Linked DNA regions of Astyanax mexicanus. The protein of the gene in region 4 interacts with the protein of the main gene of each other region in a pairwise test. Links are inferred from orthologs where the notes say so. Each region holds a gene or a part of one and is shown on either strand. Other genes may lie near its edges.

Region 1 (7,770 bases), on a different chromosome or scaffold from region 4:
TCATCCTTACCTTACAGCACTTTGGTCCTGAACATGGTGGTCGAGAGGTTTGAATGGAAAGGTGTCTTTTTTTTACACATAACAAGGTGATATATTAAGAGTACTTTCTTAAAGGGACAGGACTAAATTTTGTGCAACCTGGGACAGTGTGCATTTTTGGGGTCAGAAATCTTGCTGGTTGGTAGGGAATCAAATACTTATTTCACGTAATCAAATACAAATTCATTTATTACCTTTACCTTTACTTTTAGGTGTATTTTTATAAACATTATAGACTGTTTGTGTCTTAGTGAGGTTGTTTCTATAGACTTTTTCCCTTAGTAAATGATCATCTGAAAAATGTACATATGATAAAAAAGCAAAAACTAAAGAAATCTGTAGGGGGCAAATATTATTCACAGTACTATATAGATTTCTGCACTAAAATATGCAGTGCATGACACCTATTGATCACAAGACAGAAAGTTGGTAGTACTGGTTAGACAGGGGAGACTGGTTTGGGAGCTTCACCTTAGATGCGAGGAAGTAGTTAATCAGGTTGAGGTTGAGCAGGTCTTTAAACTCCTCTGCGGTTGTCTCATCCGTGGGTTTGTGGGGGGGATCTGAAAGCGAGAGGGACAGGGAGCGTCACTGTTAGATCTGGGTCAAACTTTGCTTTCTGTAGAAGTGAAACAAAGCGGAATCTCCAAAGTTTGACTAAGCAAATAAATTAAACGGAAGGATGGGGTCAAGTACTCACGCCAGCCAGCATTATTAACCAAACAGTCTATCTGTCCGAACTTCTCCACAGTCACAGTGATCAGTCTCTGAGGAATAAAAAGAGAGACAGAAGGTAAACAGACAGTAGTATACAGAAGCCAGGGAAGACAGGATAAGGGGAGGACATGGGTTTCATAAAAGGCTAAGATGGTGCACCTTGATATCTTCTTCCTTGGATATGTCACAGGGCAGGAAGAGACAGGAGCCTGGACCTGCTGCATTTAGCTCCGCCTCCAGCGCTTTACCTGCATCAGCTAATGAGAGAGGGCAGGTTTTAGATATTTCAATAAAGAGGTAATAAGTAACAAATAAATAAACATGCACTAATTAAGCCCTTCCAGTAACTGAACAGAATTATATCAACTGTTTCTCCTGTTTCTTCTTTTTTTATTATTAATGGACAGATTTTTTTTACATTAAAATCATTAAAATCTCACAAAGTCAGTTAAAATAATAACTTACAACAGTAAAGAAAAATAACAGATTTTTTTCAAAAGTAAAATACTCTGGTTGCTTATTGAGAAGTTAATACTAAGCTAGGTAACTAATAAAAATAACACAGTAATAAAGTGATTAAATAAATATGCACATTAGTTCTGTATGCTATAGACAAAAATCCAATATTTGATAACACTGATATTGATGTGAACAGTATAAATTTAAATTTAAATTATTTTAAGCTCCTCAAATGTCCCCCACCTCTAACTCACCATTAGGGTGTAAATATTCTCCACAGGCCCCCTGCTTTTGTATTTTGTATATGTGTTTAACCCTGTCCTCAGTGTTAAAGGCTAAAAAAGCAAGTTGCTATGCCTTGTGTTGCTGAGTGTATATAGACTATATGCTGAATGGGTCACATGACTGGTAATAATACAGATATGTAATAATCATGAATTTCCAGTTCCTAACGTACATTAAAAAACATAGTTTTGCGCCCACTGTATTAATTTAATTAATGTAAAACGTGTTAATGTAAACATTTAGTAGTACTTAAATGAAGCCAACTAAAAACACAAAGTGAGTTTTTAAGTTGATGAGACCTATTTTAATATTTGTAAACTAAATCTAAACTAAAGCTTTCTAGTTTGCACAACTGGTGGTGTGTTTCTTCAAAAAAATTTAAAAGTTTGAGTTGGCAACAAAACAAAAAAATTTAGTGCAGTAAGTTGCCTTAAAATGTTGAGTTATATATATATATATATATATATATATATATATATATATATATATATATATATATATATATATATAGAGAGAGAGAGAGAGAGAGAGAGAGAGAGAGTAAGAGAGAGAGAAAGAGAGAGAGATGTCTGGAAAAAGTTAAGAGACAACGTTGTTGTTTTATTATATAAACTATGGACAAAATTTCTCTCAAATTCCAAATAAAAATATAGTCATTTAGAGCATTTATTTCCAGAAATGAGAAATGACTGAAATAACAAAAAAGATGCAGAGATGCGAAGAAAACATTTTTTTTTTAAATCAACTAGAGATTTTTATTGTATTTAGAAAACCATAGAACTATTTAAACACTGAATCGGTTTCCTGAATTGACAGGGTTCTGTACAGAATAAACACCTTTACAACATAACCCTGAAGAGAGGCGTAGACCAGGTGAATAGATAAGGAAGAGAGAATGTGAATAAACACACAGAAGTGTATATTAAGTACATATTATTAAGTAATAAACAAGTATTCAGATAAATGTGTGCAGCTCTATAGACAGGAAGTGAGGACGTAATGAATAAGGGAAAGAGGTAAAGAGGTAAAATATAAATATGAGTGCAGGCAGAAAGTAGAAGGTGTACAAATGTGTAATAAACAGGTGTATTTACCTCCTCTGGCGCAGAACACAACTTTAGCCCCATTCTGCACTGCAAAGGTAAACAGCAGGAGAGCCTCGTTACACACACACACACACACACACATACACACACTCTTATACACAGATACACACTCTCCGTTCACACTGTTCCTCCTCCTCCTCCTGCACCTGCTCTCCAGTACCTACCGAAAACCTTCACGATCCCCCTGCCGATACCCTTCGACCCCCCGGTCACCAGCGCCACCTTCCCGCTGTAGCGCTGAGAGCTCGCCATTCTGCACCTCCAGCAGCTCCAGCAGCAGCAGCTCGATCAGCTGACTTCCCTCTCTCTACACTACACTACACTACACACACACACACACACCAATCAGCGCTGCAGCTCTCCACCCAAACACCAACCCCAGCCTCACACACAAGCACATCAGGCGCACAGCACGAGCTCTGCGGCGGTGCATTGTGGGAATTGTAGTTTGCAGCCCCAGCAATAATAAGACCTACACCAATCAAGCATAACATTATGACCCCGTCTTTGTTAATATTATACACCAGGGGTTCTTTACCTGGGGGTCGTTTTGAGACACACTTCCAGGGGGTCGCGTTTTCCCAGCTAAATTTGCGTCAAACTTTCAAACCGACTCTTTCTTAGGCTTGATTTGGGGTACGCTTAAATTAGGTTGCTTTTTATAAAGTTTAAACAGAGTTCCGAGGACTGAGTTCAATGGTGTTGAAAAAACTTCAATGCATTAAATACTGTGTTTTACGAACTGTATTATAAGGAAATTAACGTTTATTTTCTAGTCTATTTTATACATAAGGCTGGATGTTAATCTGCACAGATTTCTCTCCTGAAAACGGTTTATTTGGGTGAGTAAAGCACTTCCGTTTATTTACATTAAGCTTACATTTCCAATATTTTTGTGCGATTAGCAGCAGTGCTAGCCGTGGTTAGCAGTGCTTAGTGGTAGTAAATGCTGTCCGACAGTTCCAGTAAGCCAGGGGCCCGTAAGCCAGTTCGTCCCACGTAGTTTTAACGTTATAAACATGCAGTTCAAAATACTCAGTAGTAGCAGCTAAAGCTAATACTGCTTCAGCCTCAGTACTGGAAAAACTTCACTGAGACTCCTTTATAATTCCTCTGCCGTACTTCAGAGGAATGGCTTTTCTGCTCCTTACAACCTGACTGGTAGAATTTATACATAAGGCGCACTGTCGATTTTTGGGAAAAATAAAGGGGTTTAAGTGCGCCTTATAGTTAAAAAAAATCGGTAATCAAACTTCTGTAAAATCCATTTACAAAAACTAAAAAAAAAAACATAAATAAATTAAAACGCACAGTATCTCACTAAAAAAGAAGTAAACCTTTTACATTTTTGTAAATATTTTGTTATATATTTACAAAACACTGATGTCATGGTGTGGTACAGAATACAGACACTCGCGGAACCAGTTAAGGATTTTATTGAAAACCCACAGGCTATATAAAACAGTAGCAAAGAGTAAACAACACCGGTAAACAGATACCAGGAGGTAAAGACCATTACCGGATAGTGAGGCAGTCCAATGGTCATACACGGGGCAGGCAGTATCAGAGATAATCCACAAACAGCAATGATACACAGTCCAGAGATCATACACGAGGCAAGCAGTATCAGAGGTGATCCGAAACAGAAACGATAAACAGTCCAGGTAATACACGAAAATCCACAGAGTGAGCAAGGCAAAAATCAAGGTCGAAAAAACAAAAGGCAAGGTCATACACAAGAAAATAATCACAGAATAAACACTTTGTAATGTGGGGGAAACAAGGCAATACGCGGCGCAGATGTGTGTGTGAGCAGTCCTTTTATACTGCAGGTAATAATCAATATTCAGCACTTCCTGGCCGGGGCAGGTGAGGTGTCACGTGATCGGCAGTGTGTGTGATGTCAGTGGGTGGTGCATTCTGGGTGTTGTAGTTGTCTAACTGAGAACCTCAGTTGAAGCTAAGTGTGAAAGGACAGGGAGCGCCTACAACACCAGATGTGACAGCTGAAGATGTGACACATTTATATCTAAACCACTGGCAACAATCCTCTTCCACCCTCCATGACAATGACCTTGCATTGCTCTTCCTTTCCTTTAAGGATGCCCCACAGATGCTCATTAGGGTTTAGGTATGGAGACATGTGTGAGCATTCCAGCGAGCACAGACTGTGCATCAACAGCTTTTGTCTCTGACTTTACATCTACAAGTAGGAGCAGCCATGTAGGAGTGTCTAATAAAGCACACCGTCTGGGTCCACAGTGTTTAAAAACTCTGGCACTCTATCTATTTCTACATACTAGGTGGTGGAAAGGAATAAGCATGGGCAGCTTGGCTGCAGCTATGCAGTCCAGCTATGCCCTAAATTGAGGTGGAAGCAGGGATGCTTGAAGCTATAGAATGTGTTGTTGAGGCCCGATTTGTCATTCAAATCAGTCACAGATCCAGTTTTTCTGGTCTGATGAGTTGGGATTTGTTCTCTTTATGAAGACATGAAATTGTAGTCTTTTGTAAAGGATTGCTTCGAAGGTTTGTCTCTCTTGTTTCTGTTGTGAATATCTAGTTTTAGGTAGATCTGTTTCCAGTTTAGAAAAAGCAACTTTTCAGCTCAGAAAAAACAGGGTAATCAGTGTAAGTCAGTGTAAGTGTTTCAAAATCTAGTGCACACATAGATTCTAAACACAAAAAGAATATACTGACCTGTAAAAAAACCTGTGAAAAGGAACAACTGATCTTTATTTAAACAATACAGAGAGGTTGAGGTAACATATAAAACTGTTAAAATTCTTCTTATAATCCATAAAATGGTAAAACACCCTCACATTAAATGCTACTTAAACTGTCAAAAATTAGACTCAGCTACAGATGACTAGAACATAGTTATATAGGATTTTGGAGGTCTAGTTTGGTTTGCTCTTGATTGTTGAAGTAAGTTGTATCATCATGGACCAAAAAGCTCCCTGAGGCCTTTGAAAAAAACATCTGTGCAGTTAATGCAGTTCTGCAGCTTTCTTGCCCTCTCACCAGTCCACCTTTGAATGCATTCTGAACAGGTTTCTCAGTTTTCAGTCTTTGTCTGCCACACCCAGTTTTAAGAACACTTTTTCTCTGCTTTTGTGTAGAATATTCTGTCAATTTTGTATTTTTTATTATGGTTGTATCATATTTAAAAGGGAATGCAGGCTGAAGTAGCTACTGCTGTGGGCATTCATCATAAAGTAGCCAACTATGCTAACTTTCCAGTAAATTTAGTCTATTTAGAGTTATTTAGAGCATATTTAGAGCGTAGCTGACTAGCTCTTAAACAACATAATGGGGCAACACAGAACTTAAAGCCACTGTTGTTCAATATATGGTTGAAGTTGTTCTTTTCAGATTTGAAGCACCTGTGAAGTGGACTCATTGAGTGCTGTGAGGCTATAAAGGAAGACATTATTAGCCTTAGAGATAACCCAAAAGCCTGAAGAGCACCAGACACAGTAGCTTCACCCGAGCCTTCTAATTGAGCCACTTCTTTGTGTAAGGATGTTCTAGTGATGGTTATCCCCCCCACGAAATTCTAAAAGCAAATGTAGTTACGTTTGGGTGAATGTTTCATGCAAGTCTCCACCTTTTTATATTGTGTTCATAAAAATGTTGTTCAAGCTAAAATCTCCTCCTTTTTTATTTTTTATAATTTTATTTCTATTTTTTTTCCCCATTTTATCCCCAATTTACACAGCCAATTACCCAACCCACTCATTAGGACTCCCCCAATCACTATCCTAACACACCAGGAGGGTGAAGACTAACACATGCTTCCTCCGATACATGTGAAGCCAGCCACTGCTTCTTTTCGAGCTGCTGCTGATGCAGCATTGCCAAGCAGCCAGCGCGAAGGAAAGCGCAGCAACTCGAGTATGTCAGCTCACAGACGCCCTGTGCTGTGCTGCCCTGTGCTGCAGACATCACTGTTGGATTGACATCTGGAGAGAGAGAGCGCCATCTACCCACCCAGAGGGAGCAGGGCCAATTGGGCTCCCTCTGAGCGCCGGCAGCTTGATGGCAAAGCTGCATGAGCTGGGATTCGAACCTGCGACCTCCTGCTCATAGTGGCAGCACTTTAGACAGCTGGACCACTCGGCGCCCTTCTCCTCCTCTTCCCTTTTAAAGGAGCATTAGGGATTATATTTTCTGTAGTTACTCATAACATGACCAGTATGTATCATCATCAGATATTAAGGAAACGTGATATTTAAGCACTGGCAGCTCTTGTCAGTAGAGCTTTTTTTTCTGTAGTAGGTTACAGAAATCCATGGAGATCCATGTAAACACAATAGCGAGTGGAAATGAAGGAGCTACTGAACGTGATGTCATGTGACAGAGAAAGCCAATAAATTCTCTGGTCCTCCTGTTTTTTCGATTGCACTTCAGATGCAGGAGTTTTATCAATGAGTAGAAGTGTAAAATATCCCCCTGAGAAACTAATCCCATACAGATAAGGCTTAAGTTACTTTTAAGTTACTGCCACCTCTACATAACTAATTATTTTGCCAAAATTCACTTCACTAGAAACCTTAGCTGATACAAACTCAGAATAGTGTCTGTATTTCCAGCTAGAAAACGTGCATCTCTTTCCTCCCTCCACTGTTACTACCGTAAGTTACGCTTTACTGACGTCACTGATTGTAACAGAACTGCCAGTTGGAGTTCTCCTCCAAGCGTGTTGAGCTCCAGTGGTGCTGTTTTAGTGGCAGTGTGGTGGAAATCCACATGTATCAGAAGAAGCACAATAGGAACTAAAGCAAGCATTTAGTCTTTAATCAAAAACATATTTGTTTAGTGTGTCCTGTTTCTGCTGTTTCTTTTTATTTTGACCATGCTATGTAATATATCCAGAGCTTTGCTGATGATCTTCTGTAAATAACTTTTTTTAGGAAAATGGAAAGTTCTGTCTTTATTATTATATTTATTAAATTGCATATTAAAATGTGAGAAGTGTTTTTCCTGAAGGAAGTGCAGAATGGTTTCACAGCTTTCGTGGCTTGCACTTCCATGCAAGTGCTACATTAGTGCTTTGGGTATTTGTGGTTGTTTTCATGATGTTGCTAGCTGGTGGTTATGGTATTCCAGAAGGTTGTTTTGGTGTTGTTAAGAAGTTTCTATGGTTTAATAGGTGGTTGTT
Region 2 (6,902 bases), on a different chromosome or scaffold from region 4:
TTTGCTAGTAGTTCACATACACTAAAAAAGCAGCACTTTAGTTTTGAGGTAGATTTTAGCTGTTACGTTATTATTTTATACATCAGAGTTACTGTTACTGCGTTCCATTATTTTTAGACTAGTTAAGTTACTGCTTACAAAAAACGTTTTTTTTTTGTTTGTTTCTACTGAAATGTATGAACCTATAAAACATTTAAATTCATACTAAATTCTAACCTACCTGTAAATAACACACATCACACACTATTGTAATCATGTACATATTGAAATTCTTCATATAAATTTAACATCAATTTAAAATTCATATTTAATCAGTTTATTACTCTTCGTGTGTTATACTTGGCGAGGGGCGAATAAATATTTAATTCCTTACTGTGCGGATGCCAATATACCAATACACTCTTTGAATCTTAAATCTAAATAAAACTTCAATATTTATTTTGTTGCAGTAAAATATTTTGAAATCAATTGTAATATAAATGGTCATATCGCCAGGGATGTTGTTAGTATTCGCAAAGCACACTAAAATATCGTGCTTATTTTAGAGCCATATTAACCACCACTTGTTTATGTATTATGGGTATATACACAAATAAATGTATTATTACACATATGCTTTACTGAAACTTTATATTGACTATTGACTTCATACTCTAATTATACAAGTTACTATGATGGATAAATAGAGCTTATCTACAACTAGACTTCTCTAGATTTGAGGGCGCCCATTCATACTTATAGTAGGTCAACTAACGCGAGTTACTTAACAGCACATTTAGAAGTTGTGCTAAATCATTTGAACCCTTATAAAGGAAATCATGTAATATTTTTTCTTTAGACAGAAGCTGAAAGCGCTCATTTATCCACGAGAAGCATGAAAACGCCGTGCTCCAACAGTAATACTGAAACTCTAGCTACCAGCTATTTTCCACAGACAGACAATGAACGAGTGGAGCAGCCTCGCCATTCAAACTTTGGTAGCTAGCTAACGCTATCTAACCTAGCGTTAGCTGGTTAGCACACCATTTATCCAGCTAAGCTCCACTTAAATTGACTTAACGTTATGTGTTTCAGAGATATGTACATTGTTTTATAAAGAGCACGGGTAGAAGGTTAAATCGCATTTAACGTGGTTAAGCAACACAAACAGCCACAAATACAACAAACCCCAATAGACAGCTGGCTAGTAATCTGAACAACGCTAGAGCTAGCCTAGCTTAGCTTAGCTTTGCTAACTAGTTAACTAACCGCGCTAACTAACAAATAACTTGCTGCTAAAAGAAAATACAAAAGGAGACAAACGCACATACATTACCACACGTCCCCACTTAAACACCGTCTTAAATATTAGTAAATATCATTTTAAACTGATGTTTTACCTCCCGCTTCTGTTCTCGGAATCAGGCTCACTGTTCTGCGCTCAGCGTGTCCAGGCCTCAAACCGCCTGATATTTCCCGGACGTTCGAAGCCTACAATGCACTCAAACTCTATTGGGCAAATTCAACGCCAATCAAAGCAGCACTCGACTGTGATTCGCCAGTTCAAATGACAATCGATTAGAGGGCGGGCACGGAGGTTCGAACCCGCCCACTTTACCCGCTCGCTTGCTCACGCGCTGTCCGAGAGATGTCGCCATACACAAGCTGGTACCGCTTCTCATAATTAACACTGCAGTATTTAAGATTTATAGAAAAATAGAAAGATATTCCAAATTGGTATACACGCACAGTACTAGTCAAAGGGGTGCACACACCTTCTCATTCAGTGTTCTTTCTTTCTTTCTTTTTTTGCACTCAGCTAAGCTGACCTCCCCTCCAATCAACACAGTACTGAAACATACACAGTACTAAATCAAAAACTCACATGCACTCACACACCCCATACCTGCACTACTGCTTATATTTGCACTATTTTACACACTTTAATTCCCTTCTATGACTGTAACATTTAAATAACTGTTTACACTTGAACTGTCATTTCCTCTTTAATCCCCCCCATCACTATTGCACTATTGTCTTTTGACAAAATAGACCTATAACTACTCGATTTGTCTTGACTTGACCTGACTTGTATGCACTCATTCACTTTACCAGCCATAAGCTTCTATACCTCTATATTTGCAATAATGTTTTAATGCTTTTTATACTAGTACTGTCATTCCTTCTTCAATCCCCCATCATACCTAACTGGTACACTCTCCATCATGTACATTGCACTATGATCTCGTGTCTCTTGTCTGACATGTGTCTCTCATTCTTTTATCACTTGTATTTTTATTTTGCTGTACCTGCTGTAACATTCAGGGACAGTAACGTAATTTCAATTCTCTGTATGTCCTGTACATATGCAGTATCAACAAAAAAAAACCTACTTGACTTGACTACATTGTAGATTCATATTAAAATATCAAAACAATTAAGGGACACATATGGAATTATGTAGTAAACAATAAAAAAAGTTTGTCCTCCCCCTGTATTAAACATGAATTAATAGAAACTAAAAAACATTTAAAATAATCTAAAATATAAAATCTAAATAAAAAATGGACTGATGGATATGATGATTTTAAACTATTCCAGCTTTAATGATAATTTAATTGTCTTAACTTGTCACAACAGGACATTATTTCATAATTATGTTTTAATGAGCCAATAAAACTGGTTCTGAATCTGGATCTAAAATTATATCACATATAGACTTGGTATTACCGAGCATATTCACACATTATTTTGCATTATTATTTAATTAAACCATCATTAATTTATGTGAGCACCTGTCCACTTTAACCTCTCTAAACTCTAAAACAGGGGACTGGAGAACTGAACTGTCAGTCTGAGTGAGGCTCTGATTCCTCCTCTCCTATTGGCTAAGGCTCCAGTCAATCAACGGGGTGCCTGTTGCAACATTTTCTAAAATATGAAGATATATAATGCACAGATTGTGTTAAATACATAGATTAACTGTGACAAACACAGAATGGATAGGAGCAACAAAGAAACAAAAACAAATAATTAATAGCAAATAACATACAGTAACAAAATAAAATAAAAGCATTCATAAAAACACAATAAATAAAAATTAACATACATAGACGTCACAGTTTGAATGAAGACACTTTTAAACATAAAAGCAGGTTTTGTTTAATGACAACCACAATATATAATATATAAACTTTTCTAGTTTTTATAATCTAAAATTCAAGAAGATTTTTTTTTATTCAAATTTTCTCAAATTTTGTAACAAATGTAGGTTGGGTCAGTATAATGATTATTCATTTAATTTTTTGGCCGTTTTAGGCTCAATGCAAAAATAGAATATTGGTTGTAAAAACGTATTATTTCATATTTTTAATGTAGTGCAGTGGACAAGAAATACGTTTTTTCATATTTTTTTTTCAATTTTAGTTTTTTCATCTCTGCACCTCACAATCGTAAAATAGGAGTCTTTTATTTATGATTTTTGTATTTTGCAAGTTGGTTCATACAATCAATTTTTTTTTTCTTGAAATTCTGTTTGCGTAAAGGCTGATATGAATTATTGAAAAATTGGATTAAATCTCATTTCTTCTTCATTTTGAATTTAGTTTGATACAGTCAGAAAATTAAACTGCTAAATGTTACACTGACCTAGGTTGGATATTAGCAACAGATTTTAGTTGCAAAAATGGAAAAATCAGAATTTTTCCAGACATTATGATTGTGAGGGGAGGAAATGCAAAATTGGAAAATTTGAAAAATGGGTTAAATCCTATTTATTCACATTTATTTACTGTACTATACTGAATGGGAAAAATAAATAATGATTTTAGACTCAAACGGTCAGTAAATTGAACTAATAAACCTTACACTGACCGGGGTGGTCCCGGTGGGCGGGACATAGGCGGGACTTGGGCGGCGCCCATGAAGAGGCATCCTTGGAGGAAGCTGGGCGCTTTGACAGCTCGCGTTTTCACCTGTTCTTTATAGCCACGACGCTCCGGAACGGAGAATATGGATTTTATGGATCGTTTTATGTCGTTAAATATGTTTGGTTTCATGTAAGGAGGGTTTTTTTTGGTGTTGCTGGTCCGTTGTCACGCTAATGGCGCGAGCCACGCGTCCTTTTCTTCAGGTGGGTAGGCTCATTTTCGTTATTTATAACGTTAAAGGCGGGCTTATTTACTGTAATATTATATTTATTAGACAGAGATTGTAGCTAGTTGAATGGCTGGCTGTTTTGGGTGCTTTAAAATGCAGCTGTCGGCTAGAAAATGTGGCCTCTGTTCACATTCCTGCGCATCCACGCTCAGCATTTGCAGGGGGAGCGCTTGGCTTGGAAATAGCGTAAAAAATTACGCTAAGAAATCTAGGTATCTAAGCTAGTTAGCTAACATTACTAGCTAGTTAGTTAGCTTAGCTAGGTTAGCCATTGCTCTTTACAAGCTATAAAATGTTCTCCACCGTAAAGAAAAAATAGACGAGGCGTAGCTACACACCATACATAGCTGGCTAATATATTCGGCCTAATTTTCATAACGTTACAGAAGCGTAACATAACGAATTGGTCGTATTTTAACGTTGAAAATGACCTAACTAGCTAGCGTTAGCTGGTTCTGCGCGCGCCCCCTTAGCAACCACCAACGGTTGACCAGCTAACTAACCAAGCTAACCTAGGTAATGTTAGATTAGCTAGCGTTATCTAACTGGATATAACGTATCCATCAGCGGTTTTGTAAATGAGACACAGGCTATATACTAGCGTTTGGCTATAAAACAGGCTTATACACATTTATCATGTGATTAAGGACTAAAACTAGCTTTTTGTAATGTGATTCAAACCAGCTTTCCACCTTTTTCTTTCAAAAAACAGCTAACGTTACTATACAACTAAAATACACTTAGCTGTCCCTCGCAGGTTATCCCTGTTTTCTGCTCACTGTCTGTTCGTTAGCTAACTAGCTTATGTTGATGTAACGTTACAGCAATGGTTGCTGTGCTCTGTTTCATCTGCAGTCTACATCTTTTCCTTGGAGGATGAGACAGAGAGAGAGAGAGAAAGAGAAAGAGGGAGAGAATGAGCTGTCTTCTGTTTTTTTTTGCTGACCACCCTTTACTCCATATTTAGCTAACCCTCCTATTATCTCATACATCTTTCAATGCTTCTATCATTTTTGCTCTTCATATTTAATTAACGCTATTCAGACAACCAATCAAACTGAAAATAACTTGATAATATGTCATAGTAATATTCAGTTTCGTGTACACATTTTAAACAAGCCAGTGTTTTTGGGGTCAATCAATGATACCATGAAAGACAAGGCAAAGGCAAATATATTAAACATAGTCTCAGTGTGTTATCACTGTTTTCTCCTCACTGTCTCTGTTTAAATACAACAAGAGCAATCAGGGCTGTATGAATGTCACTTGATCAATCCACTTAAATGTATTGTTTAGATCAGATTTGGCTATATTGATATTTCACATTCATACAGGTAAGTAATTTGTATATGTCTGTAATGTGAGTAAATTGCTGTTTTCCTGTGATGCCAGTTTAACTGTTGTGCAGGAAAACAAAAAATTAATATATACATAAAAATCTACTTATTTACATTTGAGATAATTAGAAATTAAGTCACTCCAGCCTGGTAATCTCAAAGTGGCCAAAGAAAGAGAGATGGTATTTTACTCTGTTCTGTCTGACCAATTTGAAGAGACTCTGTGCCATGGGCTAAAGTGCTTCTTCTCTCTCCTCCCTCCATATTTAAGTCTCATTTTGGCTCCCAGTTAAATGGATTAATTATCCAGCTCCTCTGCTTGTGATTAGACTGACAGACAATCTAATCGCTCGCTTTGCTTCTGGGGAGGCCTGCCTTGTTTTGAGCCGACAGTGCTGAATGAAAAGGATGAAAAGGCTGCGATTAAGTTTTCTGTCTGCCAGCAGCTGATAAACTAAATTCCATCATGTGCTCCTGGGAGCCCAGTGTCTGTCTGTTCAGGTGAGGAAAATCCCAACACGCTTGCCCAAGCAGGCCTTTCCTGTGTGTTGCATGGATGAAGGTCCATAAAGCGTATTGTTGAATAAAGACTGTTTCTGGATTAGTCTATGGTGACCATGGTTTATGAAAGTGAGGGGGAATAAAGACCTAGATTACCTATATGTCTAAAAATTTGATTAGATGTGGAACCTATGTTAGGTGACCAAAATTCAGTGTCTAGACAATGTCTATTCCAATGTTAGTTTGGTGTAAAAAAAAAAAAAAAGTGATGACAGTTGACATTGACATTTTGATGGTTTTAGTTTTTAATTGATGTAATCCAATCCCTTTGTTTTCCTGACATCACTTCAACATCATACTGGTTTAAAATACATCAGTACAATGTGAAATTTACAATGTGGAATTCTAATGTTCTAATGTTAGATATAGGTATGTTTTGGGTTTAGTCATTGACAAAATTAAATGTCTGTCTAATGTGGCACTTAAAGTGACAATTCAGTGTTGGTTTTCCAAATATGTGATGTTTCCTAAATGTTGTATCTGTACAACATTGTGTTTTGACATCAGCAAAATATCCTTTTCCATCCAAATAAAACATTTGTCTTGCGACAGAGTCTGGCAGATATATGACATCAACACCAACACCCTTTTCTAATATCACTTTATACATTCAAGATTGTCAGACATACAGCAGTGTTTTTCTCACTTCCCTTAACATTTTGAGTAATACAGATACAGAGTGGGCACCATAACAAGAAAATTGTATTGTGATTGTCAGACTTCTTGCCCAGGTTTGCTGTGGTGTGTTTGAAAAGGAATTAAATCCAATCTTCTACAAGAAAGGCAGCATTGTTATCCATTATTCACAAACAACCCACATCGGTTACTGAGAAATGCAAAATCATATACAGTCACAATACAGTTAGG
Region 3 (7,624 bases), on a different chromosome or scaffold from region 4:
TGTCGATTATGTTGGCTAATTGCTGCAGCCCTACCGCCTACACTGCAGCCAGTGGAGGCCTCTAGTGGAAGCCTCCAGTATTACATGTAGCACACAGGCAAGAATATCAACAGACACATTCACAGTGCGTCCAATTGTTTGCGCAAATTGGCATAATGGAGAAACAGCGAGTATATCTCTAGCTTTAGTGTAAATCCTGAATCCTGCAGTTAGTATTAATCTTAATCTGTAGCTCTGGTACACTTCCCTGCATTTACTAGTGTGACGTTCTCAGTCAAAGATTTAGATTCTGTTCCTTGTGAAGCTAAACAAAAGAAAATCAACCAAGCTACTCATTTGTGAACCTTTTTTATTTGTTATTTGATCATATAATGTGTGTTTTTTTTTTAAACTGAGTTGTGTTTTGAGTTGAAAACTAAATTGCAGTGCATTAAAAAACAGTAAAAAGGCAAAAACATCAATGTTTCACTTATTTGAATTGTCAGAGAAAGACAAAAAAAGTTTAAACAAGATGTATCATTGCCTTTAAATAGTAATAGTGTATATAGTCGCTGTCCAACGAAAAACAAGTATCTCCAAAACAGCAACTTTACAGGAAAGAGAAAAAAAACTTATAAAAAGATATAAAAAGGGTTAATTTCAAGTCATTTTGAAGTATTTCTACTGGTCTTTTTATCAAGACATTTTGGCACAGTGTAAAGGACAGTTTGTCTGTTTAAATTACGTAATGAACTAAATATCAACAAAAATGGAGATACTTGTTTGTCAGTGGACGCATACAGTACATTATACAGAGTTAAAGCTGTGAAATTAATCCATAATACAGAACATTTACAACACAAGTGATGCTAAAAGAGAGCTTTAGATACCACTACTGGGTATTACCTTTCATAATATAAATATATATACAGTCTACAATAATCAGCCTGAATATTCAAGTAAATAACATTGATTATCACATTATATTGGCACTTTTTATCTTATCTACATATTAGGCAGCAAGTGAACAGTCATTTCTGGAAGTTGATGTGTGGGATGCATGGAAGTTGGGCAAAAGCTATACTGATGGATAGATACATTGAGTCAGAACATCTTTAAAATATTATGTAGGTTTTGCTTGGTGTTCTTGTTATATTACATATGCTATATATAAATATGCTATATTATTTCTTACAGATTACCAGAATTTTCATTGTCTTTATTAGTGATGCATGTGTGGCTTCATGGTTGTTGGTTCTCCTATAGCAGCACACAGGTTTTCTTGTCTTTGAAAGGGTTTGATGAGGCAGAGATGCCGGTCAGCAGTGGATCTCCACGCCGGTTCTCCTGACAGTACTGAACCAGCTGAGCAGCTGCAGCCGAAATCTGCAAGAAACATGGCATTACATCACTATCACTATCACCAGACGCCCAGCCAATAGGGTTAAGGTTATTACTTAGCTTATTTCTTTTTGTTTTTTTAGGAAGAAGAATCAAAATTTCAACAATACATTTTCTTCTGAGACCCTAAAACAGTAGCATCAAACTTTCTTTCATTCAGAAAGCCTTAAGTCATTAAATTTAGAGTTTTTTATTTTTAATTATTCTAAAATGTTCTGCATTGCAGATTAACAATAAAGTCATCATTCTACAAAACTATGAAGAAAATCATATAGAATTATTTAGTAAACAAAAAAGTGTTAAACTAACTAGAATATGTTTTATATTTTAGATTCTTCAAAGTAGCCCCTCTTGGCTGATTTTTTTTCAGTCAGCTTTATGAGGTAGAGTCACCTAGAATTCAGGCTGGGTGTCATGTCGCTTTTCGCGGGAGTTCTTCTTCTGGCCATGTCATGTGTCTTTACATACTTGGGTCACAAGTACAGCCTCTAAAAGAGGATCCGGCTCAGTTTTACTGAACACGAGCAGCTGGTGGAGCAATGGAGACTTCAGAAGGGGAAACTCAGAGCTCAGTAGCTCATTCATTTACTCATAGTAAAAGCAAAGAAACGAAGGAGTGAAGTTTCTGACTGAGCGCTCTCTCTCTCTCTCTTTGACTGAACATAACCTGGAATCGGATTCATCCGCTCTGAAAGGAGACCCCATCACACCCGCCCAGTTTAAAATGACTTCCGCATGCTCGGTGCAATTACCCACTCTCACCAGAGAGGGCATTAAATCCCCCAAATCCCAAAATTTACAGACATGAGCTTTAAAAAATGAAGGTCAGTCAACCCGAAACATTTCAAAAACTTTGAAACTAAACTTAAACGCAGTCGCAATGTCGCAAAAAATGTTCCGATGGAACTGGCACTAATCAGGACCACTACATTTATGGAAAATGAAAGGTTCATCAAAGTTACCAGCCTCAGAAACCACAAGTAAGTGCTTCAAAGAGTATTCTTTTGGTTTGTTTAACACCTTTAAGTTATTACATGACCTTTTGCCTACCTTGATCCTCTCCAGGCCGGCCTCCAGTCTCAGCTGTTCCACCGCTTTCCTGGCCTGGAGGACGGTGTTGCTGCTGTACACCTTCCCAGCCTCCATCCTTCAGCTCCTCATCAGGTCATCCAAGTCCTGCTCAGATATGGAGTGTGATATGGAGATATGGAACTGAGAGTCGTGGTGGAGGTTATTTAACCTGTGCCCACCCTCCATCCCCCCCGGGCACCTGCGGTCACTCTGAAGACCACTTCACACAGCTCTGTGATGTGGCCGAGCTGAAAGGTCACACAGGCAGGTGTGGAAAGGTCAGGCCCACATCACACACTATCAGAGGAGAAGCCCTGGAGGGATATATAGAGCTGCTGACCTGTGTGTGTGTGTGTGTGTCAGTTTAGCTTTTACCCAGTTTATTCATAATGGATTTTTTATAAGATAAAAATAATTATATATGTATAAATATTTTAACAACAGTACAAATGTTATAAAACTAATACATTAAATTCATTAAACAGATTAAAAATCTAATTCAGACATATCAGAACTTTGCTACATTATATCATTGTTTGCTACAATTCCCAAATAACCTGTTTTATTGTTTATTGTATCCTTATTGTAATATTGTTGATAAGACAAAATAAAATAAGATAAGATAAGATAATTCTTTTATTAGTCCGACAGTGGGGAAATTCATAGTGTTTCAGCAGCAAATGGATAACAAGGCACTCATTACAATAAAATAGATCAAATAAACAATATAATATATACAATATAAATCATAAAAAGTCAAAAACTCTTTAGATTGTAGATTGTATTTACAAATAATTGCACATTGCACATTGCCTCTTAATTGCATTGGGATAAAGAAAAAAAATATTTTACATTATGTTACACAAAAAAACATATATTTTCTATAAGTATGTAGTATTTAAGTGTGTGTTTATGAAGTGTGTATATGTGGGTTGGTTTTAGAGTCTAACAGCAGCAGGAAAGAAAGACCTGCAATACCTGGATGAATTATATTAACGCATATACTTGTTAACAGACATTTTGCTAAATGAGACATTTTCTTTTAAATGTCACATTAGTAAATGCATGTCAAAAATAAGAAAAGGCTCAACATTTTTACAGAAATAAATATGTTTATAAATATTTTTTTATTTGTTTTTTTATGTTTTGTTGGTTGTTTTATGCTTTTTTTATTATTTTTTTTGTCTCCCAGATCCCTTTTCAGAGTGCTAACTGAGCTTAACTAAAATTATATATTCAGAACTAACTGGTAAGACATTCTTAAAATTATCGATAGACAGTAGACAGACTCTATAGACAGACTCTAAGTGCTCTATTAAATAAGTGACTTGAGTGTTCTTTAAGCCCCCTTTTATTCTGAATTATTTAATTTCTTCTAAAGCAAATCTTATATTTTTTGCTTGTTTTTCAAATACTTTTACCATATCTTTTGTTTTTTGTTTTTTTGTTTAAGTTCCTTATTTTAGCTCTCCTGATTAAATACTTGAGTTTCGTTTTAATTAAAATTTTTAGTCCCTTCAAGTTTTAAATGCTCTGCGACATTGAAAATTAGGGTTGCCCTTAATGTATTACAGAGTAAAAATAAGGGTTGACCGGTATCACTAAATTATTGTAACTTTAACTGTTTTAGTTGATTTTTTTTTTACCTTTTTTTTTACCTTTTACTTTTTATTTGATTTATTTTGTCTTTTTATTTATTTCATTTATTAAACTTTTGGCCTTTTACCTTTCATTATTTATATTGAAATTTCATTCATTGAACCTTTTATTTATTTTTTATTTTATAAATTGTACTATTGCAATTATTTTATTATTTTATTGCTTTACATTTTTGCCTGTCAACTTAAGCTTTTATTCTGAATTATTTTACTTCTTCTTTATTCAATTTTATATTGTTTGCTTGTTTTCTAATAATTTTTCCATTTATTTTTTATGATATTGTTTATGAAGTTTCTTGATTTTAATTCAAATTAAATCTATTTTTTAGTCCCTTCAAGTTTTAAATGCTTGCTGCATTAAAAATGAGGATTGCCCTTAATATATTACTGTGTGAAAATAAAGAATTAGAAAAATATATAATTAAAAAATTGATTGATTTAATCTAACGTTTATAAAAACTGTTCGAACGCGAAATCCGTCTCCCTCCACTAGTTTGTCCCAACGTGGCCGCCGTACTTTGTAGCAACAACGTGGGATCAGTGTGAGTGATGAGGCTGCAGTGTAGCTTCATCTGCTCCTGAACACAGATAACAGATAAATACAGATCAATACAGATAATTAATAGCTCCAGCTCCTGATCCGGATTCAGCTCCTGCAGGGTAAGTGTGTGTATCAGTCAGTAATAACTGCACAAGAAAGCTGTTCTCAGATCAGTGTTTATTATTACAGTCCTGTTAGCTTTAGCTCATTTAGCTGCTTATATTACTGCAGCACTGCTGCTGCTGTATCAATAACACACCCATAATAAAAGTCTGTTTTTATTTTTATTAAATAAATAAAAGCCTTTTTTAACCATTTCTCTAGAAGTGTTCTTGTCGTTATCGACACTATTATTCATTCTCTCAGTCATAAGAACCTGTGCAGAGCAAATTTTTCATTCCACCTTAAATGATGCAGCAGATCCTGTGTAGACATATAGCAAGCATACACAAGCCTGAGTGTATCCAGGGCTCTAGTTAAGGTGGAATAGAAAATTCCAGTAAGAAAAAATAGTCAAATACAGCCTGGACTTGTACAGTATACACTACCTGTCAAAAGACACAATTTTTTAGTAAATGTTTTTGTATTTTTATAATTTTCTACATTGTAAATGAATTCTAAAGTGATCCAAGCTATGGAGGAACACATAAGAAGTCATGTAGTAACTTAAAAGTGTTAAACAAACCAAAAGAGGTGGCTCTGATGCTTGTTGCATCATTTCTGAGGCTGTAAACTCCTGCTCTCCTGATAAGAGCCAGTTTCATCATTGTGTTTTCGATTGTCTTTGCAACCGCACTTGAGTATACTTTTAAATTTCTTGAAATTTCTCGTATTGACTGACCTTCATTTCTTAAAGTATTTTTTTATTTACTTAGTTGAGTAGGTCTTGCTTCTCATAATATGGATTAGAACATTACTCAAATAGGGCTATTCAGTGTACAGGTGCATCTCAAAGAAATTAGGTTTTCATTGAAAAGTTACTTTTTTTATTTCAGTAATTCTATTCAAAATGTGAAAATTACAGAGTGATCTATTTAAAATGTTTATTTATTTTCTTTTTGATGATAATGACTTACAACCAGGAACATTAGAATATTATATTGTAAGACCAATTGGTATTTTTGGCAGTGCGGGCAGTGTTCCAGGTCCTGCTGGAAAATGAAATCCCTATCTCAATAAAATTTGTCACCTTTTGACAAGTACAAAAAGAACCCCTGAATTTAAGGTTTGTTTGAATTATATTCTACATACTCTGAATATTTATTTGCCATTTCCTGCAGTTTGTTATGTGAAAAAGAGCCTATTGTTCGACTAACGCATGGTGAAGGTAGATTTTGTGTAACCAAGCACACAAGCCTAAGTGCTGCATTTAAGGTGGAATTGAAAATCGAGTAAGTGAGAGAGAGAAAAAGACAGAAAGAACATTGGATTTTTTACTGTACAGCAGTAATCGGAGTGACCAGTGTTTACCACCATGTTACAGAAAACACCACAGCTGACAGTCAGGAAGTCTCTGCTACCAAATAGTTTTTAGATCAAATTTACAGCACTTAAAATATCAGTTATTGTAAGAGTAACCTAACCTAAATATCTGTAATGGTGACAGTATTACTGTACTCTGTGCATTATCTACAGATGGCGGACAGTGTGCCCTCCGTGGCCAGGGATGCGGTGCTTAAGGAGAGCGCCGCTCTGCCGGAGGACGTGCCGCGGATCCGAGGCTACGACTTTAACCAGGGGGTGGATCACCGAGCCCTGCTGCACTCCTACCTCACCACAGGCTTCCAGGCCAGCAGCTTCGGCCTGGCCGTGCAGGAGATTAACAAAATGGTGAGACTCTTTCCCTCTGTCTACTTTACTTGATTACTGATGAACGTGTCTTGTGCAACAGAGGAAACTCTTGCTTATCCTTTCCTGGGGTGGTCCTGATGAGAGCCAGTTTCATCATAACCTTTCTGTGATAGTCTTTGTAGTGACTGCATTTGAGGATACGGATTGACCTTCATTTCTTAGTCATATTGTTTTAGTAGTACTTGAGTCATAATAGTGTCCAAGTGGCCAAACCTTTGACTGGTTCTGTATATACACTCATTTGCATAAACATCCAGTGTAAGCAGCATTTAACATCTCCCCAACTTCCCTCTATATGTTAAAAGTAGGGATACACTAATGTAGAAATTTTGGGCCAATATTACAAATGTATACACATATATGTACATATTTATAACTCACAGGAAGACCACAAATCCCACTACAACTTTTCCGGCATACAATAGATAGATCAGTAAATATTGGTTTAAAAAAAAAGTAATTTTTAGCCAGTACTGATATAATTTTAATATCATTGTTCATCTCTACTTAACAGTAATGGATGGAGCACCATCAGTCCAGAGAATACAGTTCCACTTCAAATCTCAATGCTGTTAAGATTGGTGTCAGAAGTGGTTCATTCTATGTTTAGGTTTAAACCCCGCCCACTAGACAGCAGTGTTCTGATTGGGTACAAAATAAAGTTTAAACTTACTTAGTTTTATATTGCCTTGCTAACAGTATTGCAATATCTTGCTATATATATATATATATATATATATATATATATATATATATATATATATATATATATATATTTTTTTTTTCTGTATTTGTAAAGTGTCCTTGGGTTTGGGAAAGGCGATATATAAGTTGAACTTATTAAACTTGTTAAAATGATTATTATTATTATTATTATTATTATTATTATTATTATCTGCATTTTGATATGTATCATATCGCCAAGTTCTTGCCAATACACAGCTGAAAAAGAGTAAACCACAGACATTTGGACATAAATCTTATGTTGTCTCTTCTGAAGGACCTGTAATACCTGTGCTGTGTTTAGATTGAGAAGAGGCTGGAGGTGGTGGAGGAGCCGGAGGAGGAGCAGCAGGACGCTGGTGACTCTCAGCAGGGTCGTTCAGGCTGTACCATCTTCTTG
Region 4 (7,222 bases):
GGCAATATAACTAAACAAATACAAATATACATTTTTTTGGATTTAATGGCATTCTGTTGTTTTCTGCCGCTTTATTGTTTGTTGTTTGCACACTTTAACTTAGAGCTTCAGGCTTTTATCTTTATACCAAAAGGATCCACAAAGAGAACAACAAAGCCTAATAAACTTGCTGACAGACGCAGGATAGACTAAGAAGTTCCACTTCCCTATTCTCTGAAAAACACTGGTGATAAGGTTGTAGACCCCTGTTCATCCACCATTTCTTAAATTTCTTCTTAAATTAAGGAGTTTAATAGTGAGTTTGTCCCAGTTTGCTGCAATAACAGCCAGTATTCTTTTAGGAAGGCTTTACAATAGATCCTGAACCTCTGAGAGGATCAGTGATGTTGTTGGATGATCAGTTTTGCCACTTCATTTATACAAATAGCAATGGAAGGAGCTCCATCAGAGCAGATCACCACAAAATGCAGATCCACTGCTTCACAATGCTGATGTTGCTTGGCATATGACATGGAGAATTTCCCATTTTATTTGCAAAGCATTTAAGTAGAGCAAGTTCACGAATTAGAACACCGTCAGTATTCTTTTCGACATACAGCTCTGGAAAAAAAATAAGAGAGCACAGTTTCTGAATCAGTTTCTCTGATTTTGCTATTTATAGGTATATGTTTGAGTAAAATGAACATTGTTGTTTTATTCTATAAACTACGGACAACATTTCTCCCAAATTTCAAGTAAAAATATTGTCATTGTCAGAAAAGGAGAAATGGCTGAAATAAGACCTCCAATAATGCAAAGAAAATAAGATTATATTCATAAAGTTTTGAGAGTTCAGAAATCAATATTTGGTGGAATAACCCTGGTTTTTAATGACAGTTTTCAAGCACCTTGGCATGTTCTCCTCAACCTCTTACACACTGCTTTTGGATAACTTTATGCCACCTCTGGTGCAAAAGTTCAAGCAGTTCAGCTTGGTTTGATGGCTTGTGATCACCCATTTTCCTCTTGGTTATATTCCAGAGGTTTTTAATGTGATAAAATCAAAGAAACTTGTCATTTTAAGTGGCCTGTTAGTCTTGTTGTAAAAATAAAAAATAACACTGAGACACATTGGGTTGAATCTGTTGGTCTGGCCCTCCAAAACAGTTTCAGTGTATTTTATGGCCCCTTGGAAAAATTAATGACCACCCCTGGTCTCTCTTATATTACAACAAATTATCAATACTTTACAAAAAAATGAAATACAGGATATGTGTGTCCTTAGTCTATGTGTAGTCTCACTATGCAGACATTGAGCATTAACACACATAAGCTTTTACAGAGCACCTGTAAGCTTCTTAAACGTGTAGGTTAGATAGTTGCTATTCCTACAGTCAGAGATAGCACAAGTCTGTGTGTAGACTAGACGTGATCCTGCTTACAGTAAAAACATCTCTACCATACAAAAGACTAAATGGTCAAATATATTTAAATATATAAAAATGTACAAACAAACCTAAAAAGCAATTTTCCCAATTTGTTCTCTCTCTCTTTTTTGTCTTGGTAAAGGTATTTCCAGTCTTCAAAATGTTACTGTTAACGTAGCTAGTTAACAGTTAACTATCCTAGATATATAAAGTGTCCCAAACTTTTAGTTTAATACAAATTAAAATAACAGCTTAATATTCTTAAGTTTTTACTAAAAAATGTTTCAGAAAGATGGAACAGAAATAAAACCTCGTCATAATAACAAAAACACTGATTTCTGCAAACTGTAACAGTGTTGAGAAGGTTCAACTTCGAATGTTCCGTTCCACCTTAAAAAGCGCTATAGTAACGGTCTGGCGCCTTGACGCGAGGCTGTGTAAAACTGCTGCACTATTTAAGGTGGACCGGAAACTTGTAAAAAGCCGACATGGAGCTCCCCAGTGTTTACTGTTTACTTACCTTCGCTGCAGTCCCAAAGCTGGAAGAGCATAAACAGGACACACGCTGCCTGAATGCGAAGAGAAGACTGTAAAACAGCCATTATTTCTCCAAAATAATTCGGTGAATTGAGGATTTTTAACAGTCAGTTTCTGGTAGCTTTTCCTTATCCAGGCGTCGCCTTCCCAGCAATGGCAAAGAGCCCGCTGGACTCCACATAACGCTCCTATCAGGAGGTAAAAAATTAAAACAGCCGTAAAGAACTTCAGCTACCTGCTCATTTTCATCTCCGCTCTGCCTCTTTCAGTTAAAGCTTGCTGAGATAAGCATGTTCCTCCACACAGGCGACTGTTTTCAAAGTAATCCTCTCAGAAATGGGACTGCTGGCTTATCCGACAGAAAGCTTGTAGACTCATGAGGGTCGGACGTGAATTTGCAATGAAGCCCAGACCGACGACAGAGGTCGACAATGGGAACATCTCATTTAACAATGCCCTCTACACAAAGTGGCTCCCTACGCCCTAATCCCTACTCTCAGTACTGAGTGAATGTGTGGTTTTAAAATACAGTTATGAAAAAAAAAGAGACCACTTCAGTTTCTAAATCCGCTATTTATAGGTATATATCTGAGTAAAATTAACATTGTTGTTTGATTCTACAAAACTATGCACAACATTTCCCCCAAATTCCAAATAAAAATATTGTAATTTAGAGCATTTATTTGCAAAACATAAGAAATGGCTGAAATAACAAAAAAGATGCAGAGCTTTTTGACCTCAAATAATGCAAAGAAAATAAACTTATACTCATATTCAAGCTTTAAGAGTTCAGAAATCAATATTTGGTAGAATAACCCTTGTTTTTTCCACCAGTCTTATACACTGCCTTTGGATGACTTTATTCCACTCCTGGTGCAAATATTCAAGCAGTTTGATGGCTTTTGATCATTCACCTTCCTCTTGATTATATTCCAGAGGTTTACAATTTGGTAAAATCAAAGAAATGTATCATTTTTAAGTGGCCTCTTTTTTATTTACAGAGCTGTTTGTAAATATCACGATGCTTACTGTATTGCAATATATTAAATCATAACTGCAATGACACCTATTGTATCTCTAGGTTTTTGCTAATACACAGTCATAAAGATTATTGTACATGAATACCACCAAAATTTTCTAATTTTCCAGTGAAAAACAGGGATTTTTTTCTCAGTACCTTTAAGAGTTAGGGCTGTTTCAATAACAGCAACTGCAATATGCTACTGATACTTCTACTGGATACTTTGCTGTTTATAAGTTTGTTTTGATTACATTAACTGAACATACTTGTTTTTTGTTGGTAAAAGAAAAACACAGATACATAAAAGAAAAAAAAACAATATATAGGATGTTTGTGTTACCTAAACTACTTGTAAAGAAATCATGTCGTAAATTTATGAGCTCAAAAGATGTAAGAACCAAGCTTCCTAAGTGAACCTGAATGCAACATTAGACTGTTACTAATATTTATACTTAACAGTTCATGGATTTTCATGGGCAATCAAATACCTGACTGGCTGATAATTATGTGATTGCATGGAATTGGACATTAATGTAGAAAATACAGCTTAGGCTAACTTTTGAGGGTGACTGACTTCAGATGATCATTGGTTGAATATTTGCTGGTTCTTCGTCAAACAGATATTTAGCTGGACCAGGCAAAAATATCACTGGTTTAAATATGTTCAGGTAGTTGAGCAGTTGAATTCCACTACTGTAGCCAACAATAACTGGAACATCATTTAGGTGGTCTACCATGTGTCCACAAGGACACTACACCAATAACTTCACATTTACCTATCAATGTAAATGCATCAAATAAGGCTCTAAATGTATCAGAAGCTGCAAATAAGGATCCAACTACACTCCCATACAGTGTAAATGTAAGTTTCTCTAAATAAGAGTGTCTGTCAAATCCTTTAAGGTATTATCAGTTACACTTTTACTTCAGCTTGTTAACTATCTAGGGAACTACACGCCAATTTGACATGCACCCATCGGTGTCCCTAACATTTTTTTTTACTTCTCTAACGCAGTTTTGGTACAAAACTCCTGGGCTCGTTAAGTATAAGTACAGATAAATGCATTTTAACCCATGTCCACAAGCGTTATAGTTAACGCTACAGTTGTGTTTGCGTTTCTGCGGTAAGATCTCGAAAAGCTAGTATGACTAGGTTTCTTCGCCCCAGTTTGTTTGGGAAAGTAGGGGTGTACTCAAAACTATGTAAAATTGCATCTAGCGGTTCGATATTAGATCCGTCTTATAACTTTGCTAAAGCGTTGTTTCTGTTTAGCAACAGTAGTTAATCTCTATTATCAGTATTATTTTCCGATATTGAGTACGTATTTTTATCCCAAAATGAAAATAAGTCATAAAGTATGTGCGTTGTTTAAAACAAGTTGGTCATTTAACCCCGGTCCCTTACTCTTACAGCCAATAGCATTGCAGCTAGCAGCGCTTTGCGTACAGGCAGGCTTGTTGTGGGTACGTATACACAGCTATGCGCATTTCGCTTTTTATGGTTAACATTTTGATAACAATTTGCTGATATAACTTTTAATTCGTAATAAAAGCGATATAACATATATTTTATGCTCTTGTTTTTTTTATCGGCGAGCAGAACTGGCCGGTGGTTGAGGCATTAGCTCAGCACGGCGCTGAACCAAAGTGAAACTGAATTGGCTGTAGTTGGCGGTGTCCCAATCAGCAATATGGGCTCTGAGGGACTTGAAGAAGAAACCGTGGAGAAGATCCTGAACGGTGAAGGACTGGAGGTCACAGAATATGACTGGACCCCCGAGGAGCCGAAGCCTGTCACCCTTAGGTCGAATGTTTGTTATATTGTTGCTGCAGTCATCTTCAATGCCAAGGTAATGTGGGCTCATTCTTTAGGATGTAGATGTTAAAGTATGTTTTAATACATGAAATCCCCTAAAATAAGAGTGGTGTAGAACCTACATCCATATTTCCAATACAGGGGGTTCTAAACTGTGGCATGCCAGATAACCTTAGAAAATACATTATTTTGTGTTCAGTACTAAACTAGTTCAGCAGCCCACACTTCAGTTCTTCGGCCTTGTACGTCCTTAACTAGCTACAGTTAAAACATGATTAACATCAGTTTAATAGGCCCTGGGCTTGATGCCATTTGCTAGTAGCAACTCTTCTAAATTTAACTTTATTTAACTATATTATTTAACTTTTAACTTATTTTCTTATCTTATGTTTTTTCAACATTAAATCTAATGACAACTCACGATAAAATAATCACTATATATGCATGCACAGTTTTTTTCTAAAATATACAAAGCCATTTTTATCTTAGACCCAAACCTGAAATTGATAACATTTATTATCATGCAATTTATTAAACAAATGTGTAAATGTGTCCTGTTACTCTTTATATAAGTTAAATGACCGAAAGTAACAAGACTTAATAGTAAAAAGTATTTTACAGTTATTTTTTGTGCACATTTCTACATGTAATTTACTGGGGATGCAAATAGCACAGATTCTGCAGAATATACAGTAGAACCCTTTGGAACTCCACCGGCTATGCTAAACAAACCATTTCCAAGTAATGCACATTAGTTTCAGCATTAGGATTACTAGCTAATTATATAACATTGGTTAATTAAGTAGACACTCTAGTTCACAATATGGCACTCCTGATATTTTCCTTTGTGTCATGCTTTATAGAATAAGTGTATTGACCAGAAACACAAAAAATTTCGCCCTGCTAGCTTAAAAAATTATAAAGTGTGCAAGCTCCAAATAATTTGTGAAAAACACTGGCAAATGTGTTCCTGTGTAATTAGTTGCAGGTAGTAGGAGATGGCAAATCCCTAAAAACTAAAAACTAGTGTTATACATAGGGCCCATTTCCTTCTCCTATACTCTACTATCCCACTCAAATTTAACTACATGGCACTAACAAGGTCCTACACCTAAAAGCAACAATTAAATTACAAATGAAGACTTCATCTCACCCACAATCTCATCCTCAAATGGTCACATTGAGGTCACTCTGTCCATTTGCTGTCCAAGAAGAACACAGGTTTGATAAATCTGGCCTCAGATTAGATTAGAGTTACAGATCTCATAGTCCTCAAAAGCATCCAGATGGTACACATTTGGCCCAGTCTTTGATTAAAACAATCTATAATGCACTCTAAAGAAGGCTCTACATATAACTGTGTGTGTTAATGGGTTGTAGGGGGAGGTGCTGATGGTGCAGGAGGCGAAGAAGGATTGCTATGGGCAGTGGTACCTTCCCGCAGGCCGCATGGAACCGGGGGAGAGTATTGAGGAGGCTGTGCAGAGGGAGGTGAAAGAGGAGGCTGGAGTGGACTGTCAGCCGGTCACCATGCTGCAGGTGCAGGAAAGCGGCCCGCAGTGGATCCGCTTCACCTTCCTCGCTGAGATCACAGGTCAGGATGGTGTGAATCATGGTACCAGTACTAGAGAGGGTCTCTGATCTAGCTGAATATCTTTGGTCTATGATAGGTGTGGATCAGCGAGCAAATGATGATGATGATGACGATATTAGTTGGTAGGTTGTACATGTTGATTATTGTAATGGTAGTTAAAACAAAATTTCTAATAAGTTATAATATTATTATTCTATTATGGCAGATATCCCATTATTATGTCAAAAATCAGTACATGTTCCAGAGGTGGGAAATCAAAAAACCTTTAAAGGGTTTTTTCTTCCAACATTCATGTCAAAAGCCAGCTGACATTGTTTATAATGAGTTGGCTATTAATCCTTTATTAGCTTTTCAATTATTGTTAACCTAATAGTAATAAGCAATTTGAATTACTCTTCCGCATGTAAACATAATGCTTTGAGCCCTTAAATGGTGAGTTTAACTGTAGAATTGTGGAAATTAACAACCTCTAGGCTTAAAATACTGTACGTCTAGTGTCTAAACATTTAAAATACTTTTTATTCAGTACTACTTTTCTTTTAAATTAATCACAGTGGTATTTGGTAAGTGGAAGGGGACAAGTGGCGAAAACAGTGTGGTGTCTGGCAAGTCTTTACGAGAGTTTTTTCTGGCCACAACAGTTTTTGTTGGTTACCTGAGCAACAGTAGCGTTGCTAATGCTTCTACTTTGCTAGAGTGATTGCTAATGTGGAGAAACAGAACAGCAACCTCAGCCTCTATCTGCATATTCATGCATGGTTAAACCAAAGAAAGATGATAAAACCACTGCATTCTTCTGCTATGAAATGCACATTTTAAAAGTACTCTTATGTATGCTCAGTGCAATT

What was found.
Region 1: the proteins of nudt18 (region 4) and hsd17b14 interact in binary tests that used the Homo sapiens proteins (3 or more experiments, as listed by UniProt). The two-hybrid records come from large-scale screens. The link is inferred for Astyanax mexicanus from reciprocal best matches to the Homo sapiens genes NUDT18 and HSD17B14.
Region 2: the proteins of nudt18 (region 4) and evi5l interact in binary tests that used the Homo sapiens proteins (3 or more experiments, as listed by UniProt). The two-hybrid records come from large-scale screens. The link is inferred for Astyanax mexicanus from reciprocal best matches to the Homo sapiens genes NUDT18 and EVI5L.
Region 3: the proteins of nudt18 (region 4) and dhps interact in binary tests that used the Homo sapiens proteins (3 or more experiments, as listed by UniProt). The two-hybrid records come from large-scale screens. The link is inferred for Astyanax mexicanus from reciprocal best matches to the Homo sapiens genes NUDT18 and DHPS.

The regions. Positions count from the first base shown.
Region 1 is NC_064426.1:17,506,281-17,514,050, forward strand, and holds the start of hsd17b14 (17-beta-hydroxysteroid dehydrogenase 14), read right to left. Parts: upstream 3,009-7,770; 5' UTR 2,859-3,008; coding exon 2,771-2,858; intron 2,634-2,770; coding exon 2,595-2,633; intron 1,014-2,594; coding exon 916-1,013; intron 807-915; coding exon 740-806; intron 603-739; coding exon 511-602; intron 1-510. UniProt on the Homo sapiens protein: Catalyzes the NAD(+)-dependent oxidation of L-fucose, yielding L-fucono-1,5-lactone, which rapidly converts spontaneously to L-fucone-1,4-lactone. Can also act on D-arabinose and L-galactose, with lower catalytic efficiency. Does not use NADPH.
Region 2 is NC_064428.1:27,242,000-27,248,901, forward strand, and holds the start of evi5l (EVI5-like protein), read left to right. Parts: upstream 1-3,881; 5' UTR 3,882-4,111; intron 4,112-6,902. UniProt on the Homo sapiens protein: Functions as a GTPase-activating protein (GAP) with a broad specificity.
Region 3 is NC_064426.1:39,363,999-39,371,622, reverse strand, and holds the start of dhps (deoxyhypusine synthase), read left to right. Parts: upstream 1-4,621; 5' UTR 4,622-4,769; intron 4,770-6,285; coding exon 6,286-6,480; intron 6,481-7,528; coding exon 7,529-7,624. Other genes in the region: guanine nucleotide-binding protein G(I)/G(S)/G(O) subunit gamma-7, read right to left, coding at 1,240-1,365, 2,431-2,526. UniProt on the Homo sapiens protein: Catalyzes the NAD-dependent oxidative cleavage of spermidine and the subsequent transfer of the butylamine moiety of spermidine to the epsilon-amino group of a critical lysine residue of the eIF-5A precursor protein to form the intermediate deoxyhypusine residue.
Region 4 is NC_064419.1:30,331,508-30,338,729, reverse strand, and holds the start of nudt18 (8-oxo-dGDP phosphatase NUDT18), read left to right. Parts: upstream 1-4,210; 5' UTR 4,211-4,428; intron 4,429-4,564; 5' UTR 4,565-4,655; coding exon 4,656-4,814; intron 4,815-6,160; coding exon 6,161-6,374; intron 6,375-7,222. Other genes in the region: adam9 (disintegrin and metalloproteinase domain-containing protein 9), read right to left, coding at 1,927-2,008. UniProt on the Homo sapiens protein: Mediates the hydrolysis of oxidized nucleoside diphosphate derivatives. Hydrolyzes 8-oxo-7,8-dihydroguanine (8-oxo-Gua)-containing deoxyribo- and ribonucleoside diphosphates to the monophosphates. Hydrolyzes 8-oxo-dGDP and 8-oxo-GDP with the same efficiencies.